Zea mays: one gene and its partner. The protein of the gene in region 1 binds, or shares a complex with, the protein of each later gene. Links are inferred from orthologs where the notes say so. Each region holds a gene or a part of one and is shown in the gene's direction. Other genes may lie near its edges.

Region 1 (10,291 bases):
GAGACATTATCTTGTATCTACGATCACCACGGATTAATTGAACTTGTGTAGGGTTAAAAAAACGAGTGATCTTAGAATAACCTTGACCATTTCATGGTCATCCCATTTTATGCTCCCGAGGTTGCACACTTGGTTCACTAAGGTCTTGAGCCGGTTGTACATGGCTTGTGGCTCCTCTCCTTGGTTGAGCATGAATCGACCGAGCTCCCCCTCGATCGTTTCCCGCTTGGTGATCTTGGTCACCTCATCTCCTCCGTGCATGGTCTTTAGTACGTCCCAAATCTCTTTGGCAATCTTCAACCTTTGCACCTTATTATACTCCTCTCGACTTAGAGAGGCGTGGAGTATAGTGGTGGCTTGGGAGTTGAAGTGCCGGATTTGGTCGACCTCCTCCGAATCGTAATCCTTGTCCCCTACCTTCGGTACTTGCGCTCCATACTCAACAATATCCAATATGCTTTTGTGGAGTGAGGTTAGGTGATGCCTCGTTTTATCACTCTACACAGAATAATCTTCACCGTAAAAAACCGGTGGTTTGCCTAATGGAACGGAAAGTAATGGAGTGTGTTTTGAAATACGAGGATAGCAGAGGGGCATCTTACTATACTTCTTGCGCTCATGGCGCTTAGAAGTGACGAACGCCGATTCGGATCCGGAGGTGGAGGGTGACGAAGAGTCGGTCTCGTAGTAGATCACTTTCTTCATATTCTTCTTCTTGTCACCTCTCCTTTGTGACTTGATGGAGGAAGAGGATTCCTCCTTGTGCTTGTGGCCGGACTCCCTCGAGTGGGTTCTCCCCGAGCTTGCGGATTTGTCGTCGCCGGTCCCGATCTCCCTCTTGGCGTGATCTCCCAACATCACTTCGAGTGGTTAGACTCTAATGAAGCACCAGGCTCTGATACCAATTGAAAGTCGCCTAGAGGGGGGGTGAATAGGCAAATCTGAAATTTACAAACTTTAAGCACAACTATAAGTCGGGGTTAGCGTTAGAAATAAAATCGAGTCCAAAAGAGAGGGCAAAAACAAATCAACCAAAGAAATAGAGCGAATGACACAGTGATTTGTTTTACCGAGGTTCGGTTCTTGCAAACCTACTCCCCGTTGAAGTGGTCACAAAGACCGGGTCTCTTTCAACCCTTTCCCTCTCTCAAACGGTCACCTAGACCGAGTGAGCTTTTCTCCTTAATCAACGGGACACTTAGACCTCTTACAAGGACCACCACAACTTGGTGTCTCTTGCTTGATTACAAGTTGCTTGAGAACAAGAATGGGGAAGAAGAAAAGCGATCCAAGAACAAGAGCTCAAAGAACACGAGCAAAACTCTCTCTCTAGTCACTATTTGCTTGGAGTGGATTTGGGACTTGGAGAGGCTTTGATTCTATTGAATTTGTGTCTTGTATTGATTGCACTAGCTCTTGTATTGAATGTGAAGTCTGAAAACTTGGATGCCTTGAAGTGGTGGTGGTTGGGGGTATTTATAGCCCCAACCACCAAACCAACCGTTGGGGTTGAGCTGCTGTCGATGGGCGCACCGGACAGTCCGGTGCGCCACCGGACACTGTCCGGTGCGCTAGCCACGTCACCCAACTGTTAGGTTTTGACCGTTGGAGCTCTGACAGCCTGGGCCACCGGACAGTCACTGTTCACTGTCCGGTGCGCCTTCTGGCGCTGCTCTGACTCTGAGCGCACTGTCCGCGCATAGTGCACCTGTCAGCCGACCGTTGAAGTCGACCGTTGCACTTGGAAGCCGTTGCTCCGTTGGCACACCGGACAGTCCGATGAATTATAATAGAGTGGCTTTTCCAGAAACCCGAAGGTGGCGAGTTGGAGTTGATCCACCCTGGTGCACCGGACACTGTCCGGCGGCACACCGGACAGTCCGGTGCGCCAGACCAAGGTTCTCTTCGATTTCTTTTGCTCCTTTCTTTTGAACCCTAACTTGGACCTTTTTATTGGTTTGTGTTGAACCTTTGGCACCTGTAGAACTTATAATCTAGAGCAAACTAGTTAGTCCAATTATTTGTGTTGGGCAATTCAACCACCAAAATCATTTAGGAAAAAGGTTTGACCCTATTTCCCTTTCAGTGTCGGACTGGCCACGAGCCCGAAAACAAAAAAACACTTTCACAGTTCAGATTAACATACATGCCAACCAAAATACAAAAATCAACACAACTCCATATCACAAATATATTACAAGTGCATATCATAATTACAAGTCCAGTTTGACAGATTCCAAAGCATAAAATTACAAGTTCGGAATCCATAGCACAATATTACAGATAAAAGAGCACAAACTTCATCACTATATACTTAATTATGTTTCGAGCTGTGGTGCAATGATGCCTTGTTAGAAACCTTTATATGTAAAAACTCACATCTCGTGATAAAATCCTAGAAAGGAAAATAGAGAACAACCAACTCCAAATTAAAGTATTAATGTTCATTACAGTCCACACTACACACTACACAAAAAAGTTACAGTCCAGAGTCCAAACACTCATTCGTGATTTTTGACTTTCATCTTCAAGAACCATGCTTTCATGGATAACTTCCATCTCTTTGGTATCCTTCTCCACATTCTGCTGCATATGTGAGCCTGCTAATTCCCAATCCTTTATGCATGACAAAATATCCACCATATCACTTATGAGTCGGCGTCAACGTTCCTCAATCACTCTACCAACCAGACTAAAAGTTGATTCAGAAGATATAGTGGAAGTAGGAATAATCATGACATCTTTAGCAATGAGATAAAGAATATGATAGGTAAGCTTGTGTTCATGCCACCAACTCAAGATGTTGAAGTCTTCATTGAACCTGGAGACAATGTCATCGTCCATATATGAAGATAACTTTGAGATAGAGGCTACATTTGCAAAAGTAGCAGATGAGGGACCAATACTAACCGATCCAGATCCTCCTCTTACAGCACATCACTCAAAATCAAAATCATCATCACCATAGATGTCATCCCAAACCACTTTGTTTCTACCCTCATTAGCATGGCACATTTGGTGTTGTGCTCGCAAGCGTACACCACCAAACTTTGATTCATACAACTAAACAATATTTGTTAACTGAGACCTTACCATAGAGTATTTGTTAACTGAGACCTTACCTTTTGTTTCTACCCTAGAGTTCAATACGTGCAACAGAAGGAGAATACTCCCAATGTTTCAAGGACCCATTAGAATTATACTTAAGCACAGATCAAACTATACAAGCGCACTGTTGTTCTTTCTTAGCTAAGCAATTATGACGAAGCAAGTGACCAGTTCCAGAACTAGATTTACCACTTAAAGTCACCTTGCAGTACTTACAAATGGCTCCATACCATACCATCTTACCATTGACAAGGTGAGTCGGTTCATCAAAGTCATGCCACACTTTAGATCTGAGAGGACACTTACTGGAACTGGTGGCGGCGGTGCTTGTGCCGGTCGGTGTCGGGCTCGTGGATCCTGTGCCCGCTTGACCACCGGTGGCGGCACCAGGGACATCATCATCATTATCGATGTTGATGGCAACACTACTGCCAAATAGGATCCGGGCATCCTCTGCTTTGTTATGATATTCTAGCCGGTGCTCCTCGTCCACAACGGTCGGATGAAGGTCATCGTCCATGCCGTAGACAGATGGCTCCTCGCCGACGACTGGGGTCCCTGGACAGCTACGTGGCACCGACACAAGCGATACCTAGGAGATTCATCACATCCATGGGATTCCAATCAAGATCTAATACACAAGAGAAGGGGATGGAGATTAGGGTTCAGGACATAACCTGCGCAGCCGGAGCACCTTAGTCGCCTTGAGAGCACCACCGCGAGGAGGAACACCTCTGCTAAGAGGATGTCAGGAGCCGAGGATGGGGATTACTCTATTGGGATTCGGGTGTGAGGAAGGGAAGATGATGAGCGAAGAGATGAGGAGAGTATAGATGTCCAAACAAGCCGTCGCTGGTAGCCGTCACCAGTAGCCGTCGGCGGGAGAGGCGAGATTTCGTCGGTCACCAAGGAGCAAGAGGTAGGAGCCACGGGAGAAGGGGAGGGGATTAGGTTTAGGGTTTCGAGCGAGCGAATGCCGGGGGGGTGCGTCATGGGGCAGGGCCGATGTGTGTTATGCGGCGTGGAACGGACAGACGCCGTGTCTGGCTCATTTTCGTGCTGGGTCGGGCCGAGCACGACGTGCCGGCCTCAAAGCCCAAGCACGACACGTCCACCGTGCCGGGCTGTCCCGAGCTCGATGCGCAGCGAGCCGTGCCGGGTTGGTACCAGGCTTCGGATAAATTTGGCTGTCCGGCCAATATAGACATCTATACCTGTTAAACTGCTAAACAAACTTAGCATCATCAGGCATCGGCTACACTATCATTGTAAAGTCCGTTTGCTTGTAGGTTGGCTTTAATTAGCCCCAGCTCCTCTGTGTGAACTAGGAGGCGTACGTGCCATCAAATTCTGTAAAGTTTGAAGCATGCTGCAGGCAGTATACTCGTGAGGATGACACAAAAAACACATATTTAGTGATACCAATTTAATGGTGTAAATACCACCGTCTCTTTTTGTATAAGTATATTAACTCTAAGTTTAGTTAAATAAAAAATAGTTTAATATATGACGACTCTGTATGCTCATCTCATCTAGGTATACATTTTGTTAGGACTTCTCCAAATTTTGAACTCTGCATTATGAACTTTTGGATTCTGGACACATGTTTTGTCGAGTGCAGAGAATTGACTTGACTGTCCCCCGGCCCTCACATGTCAGTCTGAGCCAGACACGCAAACTGGTGGTACCGCCATAACGATCTGAAAACATCCTCCATTAGTCCGCCTCCGGCCACCCCCTTTCATTCCGCCGCAACGCCACCGCCCCCAACGCAAGTTTCCGGCGATGGACCCCGCGGCGGCCGCGCTAGGTGCAGTACCCGCCGCTGGCGCGCCACCTCCGGGCGCAGCCGCAGGGGACCAGCAGGCAGCTCCCCGGGTTGAGCGGCTCAGCGCGGGGGTGCAGCAGCAGTTGAACCTGGAGGGGATGCGCGCGCGCGCGGTGGGGCTGTACAAGGCCATCTCCCGCATCCTCGAGGACTTTGACGTCATCATACGCACCAATCCCAGCGCCTCCCCCAAGTGGTAACTTCATCCCCAGCCCCGCCCCTCTTATTGGCTATCGGCTGATGGCTGGCAGCAGTGGATTCTAGGGTTTAATTAGGATGCCTCTGCTCGTGTGGCGTCGCTGCGCGATTGCTTACTGGTATGGTATGGCTGCCTCTGGGTGAATTGCAGGCAGGACGTGCTCGGGCAGTTCTCGATGGTGAGCATGGAGCTCTTCAACATTGTGGAGGACATTAAGAATGTGTCCAAGGTGTTTGTCGTGTACCCCCGGAATGTCAATGCCGAGAATGCAACAAGTATGCCGTTCTGAGTTTTTTCCCCTTTATGGATATGCATATATCTTTTGTTATCTGTGTCAATTTGGTTATCACGTAATGGTATTTGTTTTCTTAGAAATCATAATTAATATTTAGTTGATCTAACATAGGGGAGTTTAACATCTGTTGGTTATGTTCTAGTTGCATGGTTTACTGATTCAGTCATGAAATAAATCATCTCCAGTTCAGGGACAACAATTTCCAAAGACATTAAGAGTTCTTTGCCCTTGTTTGTAAAAGTTTGGTTGGTTCAATCAAGACATGAACAACAACCTCTCTGAAAGATTATCAATGGAAGCATGTAATTTGGGAAGAAATTATCTGATATGAAAATTTGCTCAGTTTATGTGTTGAAGTTTTGCTATGTAACCAACTGTATTGAGTCCAAAGGAATCCATCAAACATTTTCCCTTATTTGACCCAACACTAAATAGTCTTTCGTTGTTCATGGTCCAGTATTGGTGAACACCTAATGAGATTATGATTTTCAACACATGATGAGATTATACGATTCATTTATGCTTCCATATATTTTTAGAAAAAAACCCTATGATTTTGTTTCTAAAGTAAGGATGAATGATGACTACAAGTATGACCAGTTGGGCTAATACTTTGCTGTGCCGTTTCTTTGGGGTCTTCTCACAAGTTTTATTACACATGAAGATTCAATCTAAGATTTTTCTTACTGTCAACTGATGTTTATTTCCAGTTGTCCACTAATCAAAATTCTGAATTAGGTTTCAGACTTTTGAAGTTTTCTACTAGCCATGGCCTTAATTTCATGGCAAGCTATTCTGAGATAAATAAACACAGTGCAAATGACCCAACAAAAATGTATTGGAAATGGTCATTCTAATTGTTCTGATGCATTGTCATCTAGTGTTCCCATTTTGCATACTATCAATGGTTTGTACAGTTATTTATTATTAGAGTTGCAGTATAATCCTTATGAATATTGCAGTACTACCTGTAATGCTGTCGTCAAAACTGCTGCCTGAGATGGAAGTTGAGGAAACTACTAAGAGAGAGCAACTATTGTCTGGAATAACTAATCTACCTGTGCCTACACAGATTGAAAAATTAAAGGTGACCAATTTAGTATGAAAAATGAAAACCTATAGCATGTGTTGCTAGCTTGATTTATCGGCTATCTATTAATTAGAATGAACCTGGTACCATCCCTTTCAGGTTAGAATAGACATGATTGGGAGTGCATGCGAAACTGCTGAGAAAGTAATTGCAGAATGCCGTAAGAGCTATGGGCTGGGAAGCCGTCAGGGGACAAATCTTGGTCCTACATTGGACAAAGCACAAGCTGCAAAGATACAGGAGCAGGAAGGCCTACTTAGAGCAGCAGTAAATTATGGTGAAGGTGAAAGGCATAGTGCTTGGTCAATATTAATAAAAAATGCAATTAGATTTCCAAAATAAAGAGTCCTTTTTACTTCTATTTTGTGTTACAATTTCAATACTTATAGCCTTACTAAAATTATCTGAATGCCAGGATTACGGGTACCTGGAGATCAGAGGCATCCACAATCTCTTCCTATCCATCTGATAGAAGTGCTTCCTTTAGGAGACGGTGCACAAAATTTTGGTGATAGTTCTGGTATGTAGATTTTCTTGTGTATCTAAACTCTCTTAATGAACCTCTCCTCGTTTTGAGTTTTAACATCTGTCGATTGTCTCATTTTCATGCGCTATAGACCGAACTCCTATTGTGCTAGGATTAGTGTTTATCCTCAATTGCTAAAATCACGACCATTTGCATTGAGATATGTGCTGTAAAAGTTCCTTATATGTTTAACATTTGCCATATTAATGGGAGATTTGTGCCGTAGAAGTTCCTTGTATGCTTAACTCTTTGGCATTTGCATTGGAGATGTATTTGACAAATGCACATCTAATTTCTATTTGTATTTGCAGGTAGTTATCCCAAAAATATGTCAACATTTGCACCTAATAGTGTCAACAGCCAGGGAAATCAGATTCAGGTTTCTGTTATAACTGAGTTATTATTATGATATTAGAAAGGGTCTATCTTCTATTGTTATCACTCTTTTGAATTGAAAACCTCTTTGGTTCATTCTGTTTTTATGACATCAGTCATCTTCCCATGGTGTTGATAGGATAGCTATTATATATCATAGGGAATGGCAATAACAAAACTCAGATAAATGTTTGATATTTCTGTTTCAGTTTCAAATTTGTTGCCTTCTTACTACTTGCAGGCATCCGGAGGACAGTTACTTGGAAGGCCTGCGCCATCACCTGGAACCACAGGAACCCCTAATTTCGAGAATGTGTCCACTCCTCCAATGCCATATGCTAACTCTCCTAGGTCAGGCACCAATATGATGAATACCCCTTCCCCCCAGCAACATCTAACACCACAACAACAGAGGCAAAAACTGATGCAACATTCTCAACCGCTTCACCAGCCGGTGAGGCCATCAGCTGCTGGGATGCTAGCACAGGTAAAGATAGGTTTACATTTGGGGCTTTGGATGTGTTTTAGTTTTATAGATTTTCTGTAGTATGTGTTTCCCTTCTTGATCCTGTTCTAGTTGGAGAGTGAGAATATGAGAAACCCTAACCCTAATCAGGGTTGGGAGTGTATATGTATAGCTGAGTGTTGTGGGCCAAGGCCCATTACAATAGAGGTATACACATAAACGTAAACAACATTCTAACACCCCCGCAGTCTCAACTCTATTCTGTACAAATGTTGAGACTGGATCGAAACTCGGCGAAAACACTCGACGGTAACCCCTTGGTGAAGATGTTGGCGAACTACAACGTAGTGGGGACGCTGAGAACCTGAACGTCACCGGCAGTGACACGCTCGTGGACGAAATGCAAGTCGATCTCCACGTGCTTCGTGCGCTGATGCTACACGAGATTGGTGGAGAGGTAGACCGCGCTGACGTTGTCGCAGTAGACGAGTGTGGCGCGTTGAAGGGGGCTGTGGAGCTCCTGGAGAAGCTGGCGCAGCCAGGAGGCCTCTGCCACGCCGTTGGCCACAGCGCGGTACTCGGTCCCTGCGCTAGAGCGGGAGACAACGGGCTGCCGCTTGGCGGCCCAGGGGACGAGGTTGGCGCCTAGGAACACGACATAACCGGAAGTGGACCACCATGTATCGGGACAACCAGCCCAGTCAGCGTCGTTGTAGACCACAAGCTCCGACGTCGCAGGGGGGGGGGGGTAGAAGACAGTATTCGAGGGAGCTGCGGAGGTAGCGCAGGATCCGCTTGAGAGCGGTGAGATGGGGCTCCCGCGGGGTGCGCATATGTAGGCACACCTGTTGGAGGATGTAGGCGATGTCGGGCCTGGAGAAGGTCAAGTACTGGAGCGTGCCGGTCAGGCTCTAGTAGGATGTCATGTCGGCGACCGGGGGCCCGTCGTCCTCAGAGAGCTTCGCCTGAGTGTCGACAGGCGTGGAGCAGGGCTTGCAGTAGAACATGCCAGCCCGCTCCAGGATGTCGATGGCGTACTGGCGCTGGTGGAGGAAGAGACCTTGAGGCCAGCGCTTGGCGGTGACGTCGAGGAAGTGGTGAATAGGCCCCAGGTTCTTCATCGCGAACTCTGTGAGCACAATGTCGTCGACGTAGAGCAGAAGGTAGACGGTGTCGTCGCGGCGCTGATAGATGAACAAGGACGTGTCCGACTTGGCCTCGACGAAGCCGATGAAGGCCAAGTAAGAGGCAAAGCGACTGTACCATGCCGTGGCGCTTGCTTGAGGCCATACAAGGAGCGGTTCAGTTGGCAGACTAGATCCGGATGAGCGGCGTCGACGAAGCTGGTGGGCTGGCTATAGTAGATAGTCTCCGTCAGAGTGTTGTGGAGGAATGCATTCTTGATGTCGAGATGATGGATCGCCCAACCCCGGGAGAGGGCGAGAGAGAGAACGGCTCGAACAATGGTGAACTTGACGACAGAGCTAAATGTCTCGTTGTAGTCCACTCCGGGACGCTGGGTGAAGCCTCGAAGCACTCAACTGGCCTTCTAGCCGTCGAGGGAGCCATCCGAGGTCAGCTTGTGGTGAAAAATTCACTTGCCGGTGACCACGTTGGTTCCCGGTGGACGCGACACCAGGTCCCAGGTGTGGTTGGCCAGCAAGGCCGCGTACTCCTCCATAGCGCGACGCCAGTGGGGGTCGACGAGGCTGGTGCGAACGGAGGAGGGGACTAGGGAGGCATCGGTATCCCTTGTGGTTAGGGGAGTAACCGAGGATAAGACAACAAATGGAGGGGGGCTTGTGAGGAGAAGTGGCAGAGGTGTTGGGATAGCAGGCACAACCAAAGACTCAGAGATGAGAATAGGAGGGGGTCATGCCATACAAGGAGAAGTGGGGGGTGGGGTGACTCACCACCTTTGAGGGAAGGCGGTTGAGGAGATTAGTAGCAGTGTTCAGGGCCTCTGCCCAATAGCAGGCGGGAAGAGACGCCTGAAATAGGAGGCAACGGATCATGTTAGTGGTGGTGCGAATAATCCGTTCGGCCCGACGGTTCTGAGGGGAAGTGTACGGGCACAAGAGGCACAATTGAACGCCATGAAAGAGAAAGGTGCGAGAGGCGGAGTTATCGAACTCGCAGCCATTATCGCACTGGAGGGCACGAACCGGGCGACGGAACTGGGTGGAGACGCAGGCGAATAAATGTGTGGAGAACCAGGCGAAGAAATGGGTGAGGGTGTGAAAGGTGTCGGACTTAAGCCGTAGAGGAAAGGTCCAGAGAAAGTGGGAATGGGATAAATCATCCAAGATGACAAGATAGTATTTGTAACCAGAGAGGCTAAGGACGAGAGAGGTCCAGAGATCACAATGAACAAGATCAAAGGCTTGGGCAGCCCTGGACGTGG
Region 2 (10,291 bases), on another chromosome or scaffold:
CAAACCAAGTGGTGGCATAAAGTGATCCATATATGTCTAAATTGAATCAAAACAATTCTGAGTCCTTATTTGATTTTGATTTTGTACTTGTTCTACTTGCTTTATGTTGTGTTGGCATAAATCACCAAAAAGGGGGAGATTGAAAGGGAAATGTGTCATTGGGCCATTTCTAAGTGTTTTGGTGATTTAGTGTCCAACACAAGTGCCTAAGTGTAAAAAGGTGGACAAAGTACAAATCAAGGATAAAGGTATGTTTCTCAGACTTAGTACATTGTTTTATGAACTAATGTATTGTGTCTAAGTGCTGGAAACAGGAGAAATCCAATTGGAAATGTCTTGGCCCGAGCAGCCAAGAATCTGCTGAGTCTGGGAGCACCGGACTGTCCGGTGGTGCACCGGACAGTGTCCGGTGGTGCACCGGACAGTGTCCGGTGTGCCAGGCTGGTTCGAGCGAACTGGCCGCTCTCGGGAATTCACCGGCGACGTACGGCTAAAATTCACCGGATTGTCCGGTGTGCACCGGACTGTCCGGTGAGCCAACGGTCGGCCGGGCCAACGGTCGGCCGCGCAATCTGCGCGGGACACGTGGCCGAGCCAACGGCTAGAAGATGGCACCGGACTGTCCGGTGCGCCAACGACTCTTAGGCCGCCAACGGTCGGCTTCGCTATTTAAGGAAGGAAATCGGGCACCAGACAGTGTCCGGTGTGCACCGGACTGTCCGGTGCACCCGACGACAGAAGGCAAGAATGGCCTTCCAGATTTGCGCTCAACGGCTCCTAGCTGCCTTGGGGCTATAAAAGGGACCCCTAGGCGCATGGAGGAGAATACCAAGCATCCTTTGAGCATTATTGATCACTCACACTTCATTCTTGCGCACTTGTTCGACATTCTAGTGATTTGAGCTCCGTTCTAGTGTGCTAGTCTCTTGAGCTCAAGTCTGGGTTTTGTGTGTGCGTATTCGCTGTGATCTTTGCGTCGTGTGTGAGTTGCTAATCCCTCCCTTGCTCCGTGATTCTTTGTGAACATCTTTTGTAAGGGCGAGAGGCTCCAAGCTGTGGAGATTCCTCGCAAGCGGGATTAAGAAAAGCAAAGCAACACCATGGTATTCAAGTTGGTCTTTGGACCGCTTGAGAGGGGTTGATTGCAACCCTCGTCCGTTGGGACGCCACAACGTGGAGTAGGCAAACGTTGGTCTTGGCCGAACCACGGGATAACCACTATGCCATCTCTGTGATTGATATCTCTTGGTTATTGTGTTGTGTTGAGATCCTTCTCTAGCCACTTGGCAAATTACTGTGCTAACAATTAACCAAGTTTTGTGGCTTAAGTTTTTGAAGTTCTACAGGATCACCTATTCACCCCCCTCTAGGTGCTCTCAGGGGGGCCTTGGGCGAGACGGAAATCCTCCGGGGTCGGCTGCCCTTGTCTGAGGCTAGGCTCGGACGAGGCGTGATCGAGTCCCTCGAATGGACTGATCCCTGACTTAATCGCACCCATCAGGCCTTTGCAGCTTTGTGCTGATGGGGGTTACCAGCTGAGAATTAGGAGCCTTGAGGGTACCCCTAATTATGGTCCCCGACAATCTTCTTAATGTATTCTTTTGAGGTGTTTCTTTCCTCAGTTCCTTTGTCCAAGTAATTCTAGCATCTTGTGAACTACAAGCATAAACACTAGGAAACTCATTAGTTCACATATTGTGTTAATCATCAAACACCAAAACTCAATTAGCCAAATGGCCCGGATCCATTTTCCTTACAATCTCTCCTTGTTGGTGATTGATGACAACACAACCAAAGCAAGCAAATGATACAAGTATTTGAATGAAAGTATGCAATCTACTTGCTAGGATGCATGTTTGTCCCCTCAATGTGAGATTATGGACTTAAGCCTCCCCTAACTCCATAATTCACTTACTTCCTATTTTTGGACCAAATAACCAAAACCACTTGAAAAGCCACTTGTAGATTTTAAAATTTTAAATTGGTGGTGTTTGATGTTTGATACATTGTTCATTGCTTTGGTCCCTAAACTTCTCCCCCTTTGGTATCAACCACCGAAAAAAGAAGATATTAAAAGCATGTAGGAAGTAAATAATACTTGCCCTCATAAAGAATTTTGTCAATTGATACCAATTGCAGAATTTTGCCCTCATGTAAACTTGCCCTCATGTAAGAATTTTGCCCTCATAACGATCACGCGTCACCTAGTGTGTGTAGGCATATACTTTGTATGGCGCATTGTGCTGCCTTCCCCGGTATACGGGTCACTGTAGAGGCTCCAGTGCTGAGGTTTTTTCTATGACTGGGTTGACTGACCCCACATGGCAGTGGGGATACGCCTTAGAGCGTACGTGGTGGCGTTCAGTCGTGTCGATAGTGACCTCCTGGCGCCCCTTCGGTACGTTGCACATATGTCCGGACGTGGGTTGATGATGACGCGTCTTGTCGTAGCCATCACGGGTTAATAGCGTTAGGTTGGGACCTCCGCCTCGTATGGTTGCCCAATTTGGAGTTGGTCGACCGCTCCTCCTCAAAGGGTTGCTCAGTGGGGAGTTGGTCGGCTGCTCTGCTTTGCGAGGTTGCTCGTCGATGAGTTGGTCAGCCGCTCTGCCTCTCGACGAGGAATTGGTCGTTCGCTCCATCTTGCAAACTTGCTCGACGGAGGACTTGGTCGTCCGCTCCGCCTCGTAGGCTTGCTTGGCAGAGGGTTGGTCGGCTAATGGGCCGGAAGGAGGTTGTGGGCTTACTTTTGGTTACCCTGTTCCTAGGTACATGACAATTTACATAGTAGAGTTCTATTTGGTAGAGCTCTTTTAATGGCCCCTCAACAGCTTCTTCAAAAAGGCTACCAAATGGTGGGCTCCTCTCGTGGCTTCTCCATAAAAATAGGAAGGAGATGTCCCTAAAAACCGAGGAAAGCCCAGAGCCTAAAAAGGAGGCTTCTCTGACTCGACTCTCTCTTGTCACTCACCCTCCCATGAAAATAGGAGTAGTTGTGTTTTAACTAAATAGAGTGTTCTCCAAGGGTTACTAAAAATAAGGATCAAACTATTTTTTTCAGATGAGCCAGAAGGAAAGCCGGTGATGCAAAAATCCTACCAAAAGGGAGCCTCAGAAGAGTCAACCCACTTTATAATAGTACACATATTCAAGTTTTAAAATTATATATAACCTTAAAAATCATCTATATATTTTGAGCTTTTAAAGTGGGCTAACACGAACCCTACTAGATGTTAGTGTCGGCATGACATGATTAGACACTATAGTGCCGTGTCTAGACAATAGTACTAACACATCACGACACATTTACTAATAGTGTCTAATAACACCATTAATGCTGGACAGACAATCTATTTAGCCATCTATAGATGAATAAGGTTAAAAAACACTATCTATCTCCTCTCGTATCTAATATCTATCCACTATTTCAACTCCAACGCTACAAACAAAGGTATGACTATCGTACAACAACAGTTCTTTAGACGGCCATATCAGCTGGACACAGCCACCGTACTCCGAGATTAGCGCCCCCGTCGGCCAAACAGTACCGGACTGGCCGCCGTTCACAGTTCACGCCCCGCGTGGTCCCTATTTCCCGGCGAGCACTAGGCTACCGCCGCCGCCGTCAGGTGCCGGTGCCCAGACCTTCGTCGTGCCCATTTCACCGGCGACGAGCACCCACTAGGTATGCCCGTCCCTCCTCTCCCCTATCTGCTTTGCGAAACCGAGCACTCAAAACCTAGCTTAAGAATCGGATCTGATTCAGGAGTAATTGCAAGTATATGCATGTATTATTATGCCTACTAAATTACTAATAACTTCGATTTTTCCAATAGCCCCTGCCCGCAGGTGTTGGGAACTGGGGATAGAGATGGATCACCACCACCCGCAGCAGCAGCAGCAGCAGTACGGCGATCCTTACCGTGGGCTCATGACGTCCCCGCAGCCCGACCACCACCTCCACGCTCTTCAGTACCATCAGCCGCAGCCGCAGCAACAGCCGGCGCTTATGTCTCCACCGCAGCCACAGCCAGCACTGATGTCTCCACAGCCGCAGCAGACACTGATGTCTCCACCGCAGCCGCAGCAGCATCACCACGCCTCTCTTGCCTCCCACTTCCACCTCCTACATGTAAGTAACGGAGTGTTTGGAGTTGTGTGGAGTTTTGTGTTTTGGGGGCCTTTGCTCTTAGTTTAAGATAGCATAGATGATACATACCCTCAAATGAACCCTTCTTTTTGTAGTGATGTCATTGATGTTGTTGGAGTGTGCCCTTTGTGCACCGGAATTTCAAAATTCTGAACTTGGGATTTTGCTAGTCATTAAAGATTGTCATTAATTTGTCCTGTATTTGTTGCTCAGCGATTGCAATTTCTTCACACCATGATTTGTCACTTTGGCCGGTAGTGAAGATTGCCATATTATAGGTGTACATGAACGATATACAAGCGTCAGAGCGTGCAACATTGGTAATGGCCAGAGAAAATGTTGATTCTAATCACTCGAGTTGGTTTGACAAGAAATACATAAATTAAAAATATATATGAGGGCACTTTAGGTATTGTAGGTTTTCTTAAGCTGGCAATCACATGTCTGTATTGGCATCTAACATTTAGGCTTATTTCCAATGGCTTTTTTGCAAGTAGCAAATCTTTGTTTCCACTTTTATGATGGCTCTTCTTCCTTTTACTCTTTGAGAAAGTACTAGAATGTATTGTGAAATACTGATAGTTTTCTTCTTTGCATAATTTTGTTCTCTGTTAGTTGGTTACAAGATTAGCCGATGCTATTGGTACAGGAACAAGGGACCAAAATTTCGATGCACTGGTAAGAATCACCATTTACTAATTTTCATTTGTTTTATGGATCAATGTTCTTGTACTCATAGTGCATGATCTTGTCAGAAACAATAGTTGTAGCTTCTTCTAGGCGTGGAGCCTGAATATTCTTATACAGAGTTTGAATTGACATGTGATGTAATTCTTAAATCACTTCCCAGAGAAGAGACAGGTCACAAACAATGCTCTAGTGTTGGTGGTGCACAGGAAGCTTGGGACCAGCCCAGGGTGACAGGGTCTGCACGGTTCAGTTTTCCATAGCCAAAACCAAGCCAGTGGAAGACATACCCTTAGTTATGCAATTATGCAATTGCAGAAGCATGTTAAAATTACTACTATGTATTGTGTACTTCCATGCTGATTTCTTATAGAATACCAGCTAAACACCATATTTTTCCCAGCGTTTTGCTAAATCCTAATTCCAATAGCTACTGTATTAAGAGAAGCTTTTTATATATATCTAGGTTGAAGAATTGACCAGCCAGTTTGCTAGGTGCCAACAATTGTTGAACTCCATATCGGGAACAATAAGCTCAAAGTCTACTGTAAGTTCTGTTACTTCTCTTTCCTGACTCATATGCTTTATTCTTAGTGGTCTTCTGAATTTGATAATAATTACTAAGTTAAATTGAACTATTCTGGCTAATGAATCTCAATTACTTTGTTTTGGTATCCAATAAAATTTTCAATTGCACAAGAATTAAGAATTTTTTCCAGAAATGGATAATAAGACGGGGTATAGTAGATCTGTTGCAGGTTTTTGTGTTGTCTCATAAAATGTCTATAAATATTCATGTCTCTAGGCAAATCCTTTTAAAAAGTTAATTCACATTTATTTAAACATCAACAGGAGCATTGCCATATTATATAGAAGGCATGGGACTAAAAGGCTTTCTTTGGGACTGCCCCAACTTGATTGGAGCTAAAAGGCTTTGTTGTTGCCAGAAGCACTAGCATATCATATAAGAACTCAAATGTGCACGGTGCACACATGTTGTCCTCATGCTCAAACACGGATGAGGCTGCCCAAGCAGTCTTGGAACGTGCCTACTGAGCAACTCACACACATAGAGGCTTAGTCCCCTCTGATGAAAATCCCGTGTGACACCTGAGTCGCCCCAGTCAGGGATCAAACTCGGGTAGTAGCGCTCGCACGGTCGCACCGAGCGGCCTTAGTGCCTTACCACTGACTTACTGAGCCATTGTTTTGTTTTCTAATTCACAATTATTAGTTGTTAAGAGTGTCTAAAGTTTGGCTAGTTTTGGCAGTTTTTACTGCTGGGTTACTAGTACGTAATAACTGATGTTACTAGCCAGTAGGGACTGTCGGTTTAGTGGAGACCGGCATGAGCTGCCTTCCTTAAAAAGCCCTAGTTTTCCAGTTGATACCGGTGTCAGTGCTGTCATTACGATCTACAATATTTAGAACCATTTTAATAGACCTAATATTGCTAATTTTATATGTTGTATGGTGCTGGTTATTTTGTGAATTTCAAAGAAATTGGTGGAATATTGCTCGATCAGCACCATTGGTGATTGCCTGGTTTACCCAGTACCAGCTGCAATACATTAAATATTGGAAACATGTTTTTATAGCATGATTGCTGTTGATGACCATTTTAAATAAGTTAGTCAACAATGTGTATTAATGTGTTGACCTTTTCTTTTGTAATTTGTTTTGGATTAATGCATTATATGTAACAAATGTGCATATGCATTATGAATCTCACCCAAAAACTAGATGTATGTTGAGTTGCAACGTAATTGTAGTCCTGTCTTAAACATGTAAGAACCAGAACCAGTTATTGATGCTTGAAGTTTCAGTACTCATGGTAATTGCTGTATTTGTTACCAACAGACGGTTGAGGGACAAAGGCAGAGTTTGGACGAAACACGGCAGCTGCTTGATCAAAGAAAGTAAGTTCCGCTGTCTGCCTATATATTTTAGAAAACTACGTGTGTGTTGTCTTAGCGGCAAAAGGGAAAAAGATTGTTTCGTAGCTTGTGCCCCGTATAACCCAGGATGTATGGCCATGGTTTTCGAAAGATACCTTTAGAAATCCCAACCTAAGTTGGTCCAACCAGAAGTGATTGATGACCAACCCTTCAACAGTAAGGGGCCAGCATGACTGCTTCAGTTTGTGGATTTGTACAAGTCACGAGATTTACTCTGCCTTTTAAGTACGTTTAACTTACCAATGTACATCTTTCTGTCAGGGAGTTGATTACAAAGTACAGAGGCTCTGTCGAAGAGCTCCTTAAGGGAGATCAAAGATAAAGAAAGCATCATAAGGCTTAATATTTAAGGATTTATTGTCGTCAATACTTGAACTCTGTTACTTGAATTCGGTGGTATGCATCAATAGAGCCGGAAGATGTTCTGGAGTAAGGACCTGGCAGTGTGATACGGGAATTTGACATCTGAATAGATATTCTCCCTTGTCCCTCTGGTAAAAAAAACTGTTGTCACATTTGCCTTCGCTGTGACTTGGATGTATCATGTATATCTTTGACCATTGATATCTTGGTTAATCAGACGGTGCATTACAATCCTGGCCTCATTCATATACCACGATTGGTTTGCATAAGTAGTACCCCTCCGTTTCAAATTATGTCGTATTTTGATTTTTTTAGATACACTTTTTATATAATTTTCTATTTTAAATTAGGTGTTTTATGTAATATGTATCTAAGTGTATAATAAAATATATGTATCTAAAAGCTGTAATTTAGTATAAATTAGAATGGTGTATATCTTCAATGTATGACAAATAATTTGAAATGGAGGAGGGTATGAAAAGCCAAAACCTCCTAGAATATGGAATGGAGGGAATACATACAAATTCTTTGCTTCAGTTAAAAGAAACGAGAAAAGGAGGGGAATGGGGAATCGTACTTCAGTTTTTACGAGTTTCCAACAAACATGTATGCACGTCTTCCCTTGGTTGATGCATCTTTTTGGCAAATCTTCGTTTAATTGCGGCTTCTTTTTTATACCGTTCGAAGGTTTTCGTCGTCAATGCTGAAACTCCACTTTCACCACCTTCGGTTGCATCTGCTTGCTTTCAATTCACCTCTAATTAGTCCAAGTGTTTCATTGGACGAAGGTCCAAGTCCTTCAGATCATCTCAATTTTCTTTGATCTGAAACAACAATTTAAAATTGATTTTGTTACCTTGACTTGTCGAAGGCCTTCGAACGAACGGTACTGTAAAAATACGGTAGCTCAGATTTGTGATTTCAATTCGATTCGGGTCTCCTGGCTGGATGAAACCGATGCGAGAGAAGAAAAAAAAATTGTTGCATGTAGTTGGCGCCTGTCACCCAACCAAACCAGTAGTTGAGGCACGCCCTGTTTGCTCACGATCACGAACGTACAGCACTATAAAACACGCAGGGACTGGAAAGCGAGATTTCACAGCTGAAAGCAGCCAAAACGCAGAAGCTGCACTGCATACATCGAGCTAACTATCTGCAGCGATGTCTCGCTCCTGCTGCGTCGCCGTGTCGGTGCTTCTCGCTGTCGCCGCGACAGCCAGCGCCACCGCGCCGGCATGGCTGCACGAGGAGGCCATGGCCACGGGCCCGCTGGTCGCAGAGGGTGCAAGGGTGGCGCCCTCCGCGTCCACCTGGGCTGCCGACAAGGCGTCGCCGGCGAGGCCGAGCGGCGGCATGGCCACGCAGGGCGACGACCAGAGCTCGTCGGGCGGCAGTGGCAGCAGCGGTGAGCACGGCAAGGAGGAGGGCGAGAAGCAGGGCAAGAGCTGCCTCACCAAGGAGGAGTGCCACAAGAAGAAGATGATCTGCGGCAAGGGCTGCACGCTCTCGGCGCACAGCAAGTGCGCCGCCAAGTGCACCAAGTCCTGTGTCCCCACCTGCTAGGAGCCGAGGCCGGAGCTTGCCGGCGGCGAGACCTCGATCGATCGAGTGCTTCACTTCACTTCTTTGTTATAGTTCTTGTGTGTTGCCGTTGCGTTGCGTTGCGTAGACGAAGGGAATAAGGAAGGGTAATTGGATTACCTGTTCCAGATCTCTGTGTAAGCGTGTTGTCGTGACAAGTCATTTGATCCAGAGCGAGCGATGGATAGATCGCGCTCGCAGTTTTAATTGCAATGCTAGTTCAATATGTCTGCATCATGTTGGCAACTACATAGTCCAGATTCAAACCGAGATCGCTGTTTAGCATGCCAGCATAATAATATCAGTACAATCATATTATATTTTATACAATTGCACAATCTGTCTCTAGAGATGTAGGAATTCTACATCGGGTTATAGCATCACAAACCCAGCCCCATCATGTTTAATTCATCCCCATATTCATCCTCATACTTATCATAGGTGCAAAACTCATTCCATACTCATCTCTATTTGGGTTTAGGGTCTCCATCCCTAATTAAGGGATAACTGGATACTAACAACTAGCACAAACTATCCAGATTTCAGACATTACCACATTAACAACACTCATCCATGAACTATGATCCATTCATCCACCATTAAAAAAGAAATCGGTATTTCGAGACCGATAGAAGAAATGAAGTCTGCTCATGTTTCTTGGTCACTATCTGAGTTCGTTGGCGCCTGATAATCCATGGTCGTCACCGTCGTCCTAGGCTCCTAGTGATCGGCGGTGCTCCTCGTCGCTGGTAAAGTCGCCAGTGTGTAGTGCTAGCGCAACTGTCCAGGCGTACGACGGTTGGCCGACTGGAAAGGGCATAGCGTATGGCTGGTTATTTTTAGGGTTTTGTTTTTTTTTTGCTAATCTGCTAGTTGCCTTACCATGTTGTCTTATTGGGCTAGGATCTTGGGCCTGGTACGCTGTCGTGCTAGGCTTGATGTCCGGCTCGGCCTCAACTCATTCATATCCATGGGTAATCGGGTTCGAATTATTGCTCCACAAACCCATACCCGTTTACCCAATGGGTAGATATTTTGTCTCATATTCATACACACCTGTACCCTAATAGGGGAATTTCTCACGGGTTAGCGAGTATCGGATCCCCGCATCTCTATCTGTCTTCCAGAATAACAGTACAAACACACAGATATTTGCCAGACAAAAGGGAATTTCCGAAAAGCTGTCAAGGCAAGTACACAAGATATCATTTTCACTCAAGTATAACGAGAGGAGTCATCAAGGAAAAAGAAGATATCAAATCTTAAAAAAAAATGATGTACATGGCTCGCTTCACTCATCAACGACCACTAAATCGACCAACACACAGCACAACCATAAACTACCAAATGCAACCACTTGACTGTTGCACATGCACATGATAACGGTACATGAGAAAGATGTTACAGACAGCAAAGAACTACGAGTGCCAGAAAAGCCCAAGCAAGTCTCATCTGCTGATCACCATTCGATCGGGGCCTAACATCTCCAGCTGCCGCCATCCACATAATATTGTGGATGAAGTCACTGTCCATGGCAGCTTCTCTTCACAAA

What was found. The genes of interacting proteins can lie anywhere in the genome.
Region 2: mediator of RNA polymerase II transcription subunit 8 (region 1) and uncharacterized protein LOC100276155 share a complex: the UniProt entries of both Arabidopsis thaliana proteins name them as parts of the mediator complex. The link is inferred for Zea mays from reciprocal best matches to the Arabidopsis thaliana genes MED8 and MED9.

Annotation. Positions count from the first base shown.
Region 1 is NC_050102.1:151,798,316-151,808,606, reverse strand, and holds the start of mediator of RNA polymerase II transcription subunit 8, read left to right. Parts: upstream 1-4,759; 5' UTR 4,760-4,893; coding exon 4,894-5,132; intron 5,133-5,285; coding exon 5,286-5,410; intron 5,411-6,392; coding exon 6,393-6,517; intron 6,518-6,619; coding exon 6,620-6,803; intron 6,804-6,935; coding exon 6,936-7,040; intron 7,041-7,357; coding exon 7,358-7,425; intron 7,426-7,662; coding exon 7,663-7,908; intron 7,909-10,291. UniProt on the Arabidopsis thaliana protein: Component of the Mediator complex, a coactivator involved in the regulated transcription of nearly all RNA polymerase II-dependent genes.
Region 2 is NC_050097.1:1,833,558-1,843,848, reverse strand, and holds uncharacterized protein LOC100276155, read left to right. Parts: upstream 1-3,520; 5' UTR 3,521-3,685; intron 3,686-3,836; 5' UTR 3,837-3,871; coding exon 3,872-4,132; intron 4,133-4,765; coding exon 4,766-4,828; intron 4,829-5,303; coding exon 5,304-5,384; intron 5,385-6,697; coding exon 6,698-6,756; intron 6,757-7,056; coding exon 7,057-7,117; 3' UTR 7,118-7,389; downstream 7,390-10,291. Other genes in the region: uncharacterized protein LOC100276560 precursor, read left to right, coding at 8,320-8,721. UniProt on the Arabidopsis thaliana protein: Component of the Mediator complex, a coactivator involved in the regulated transcription of nearly all RNA polymerase II-dependent genes.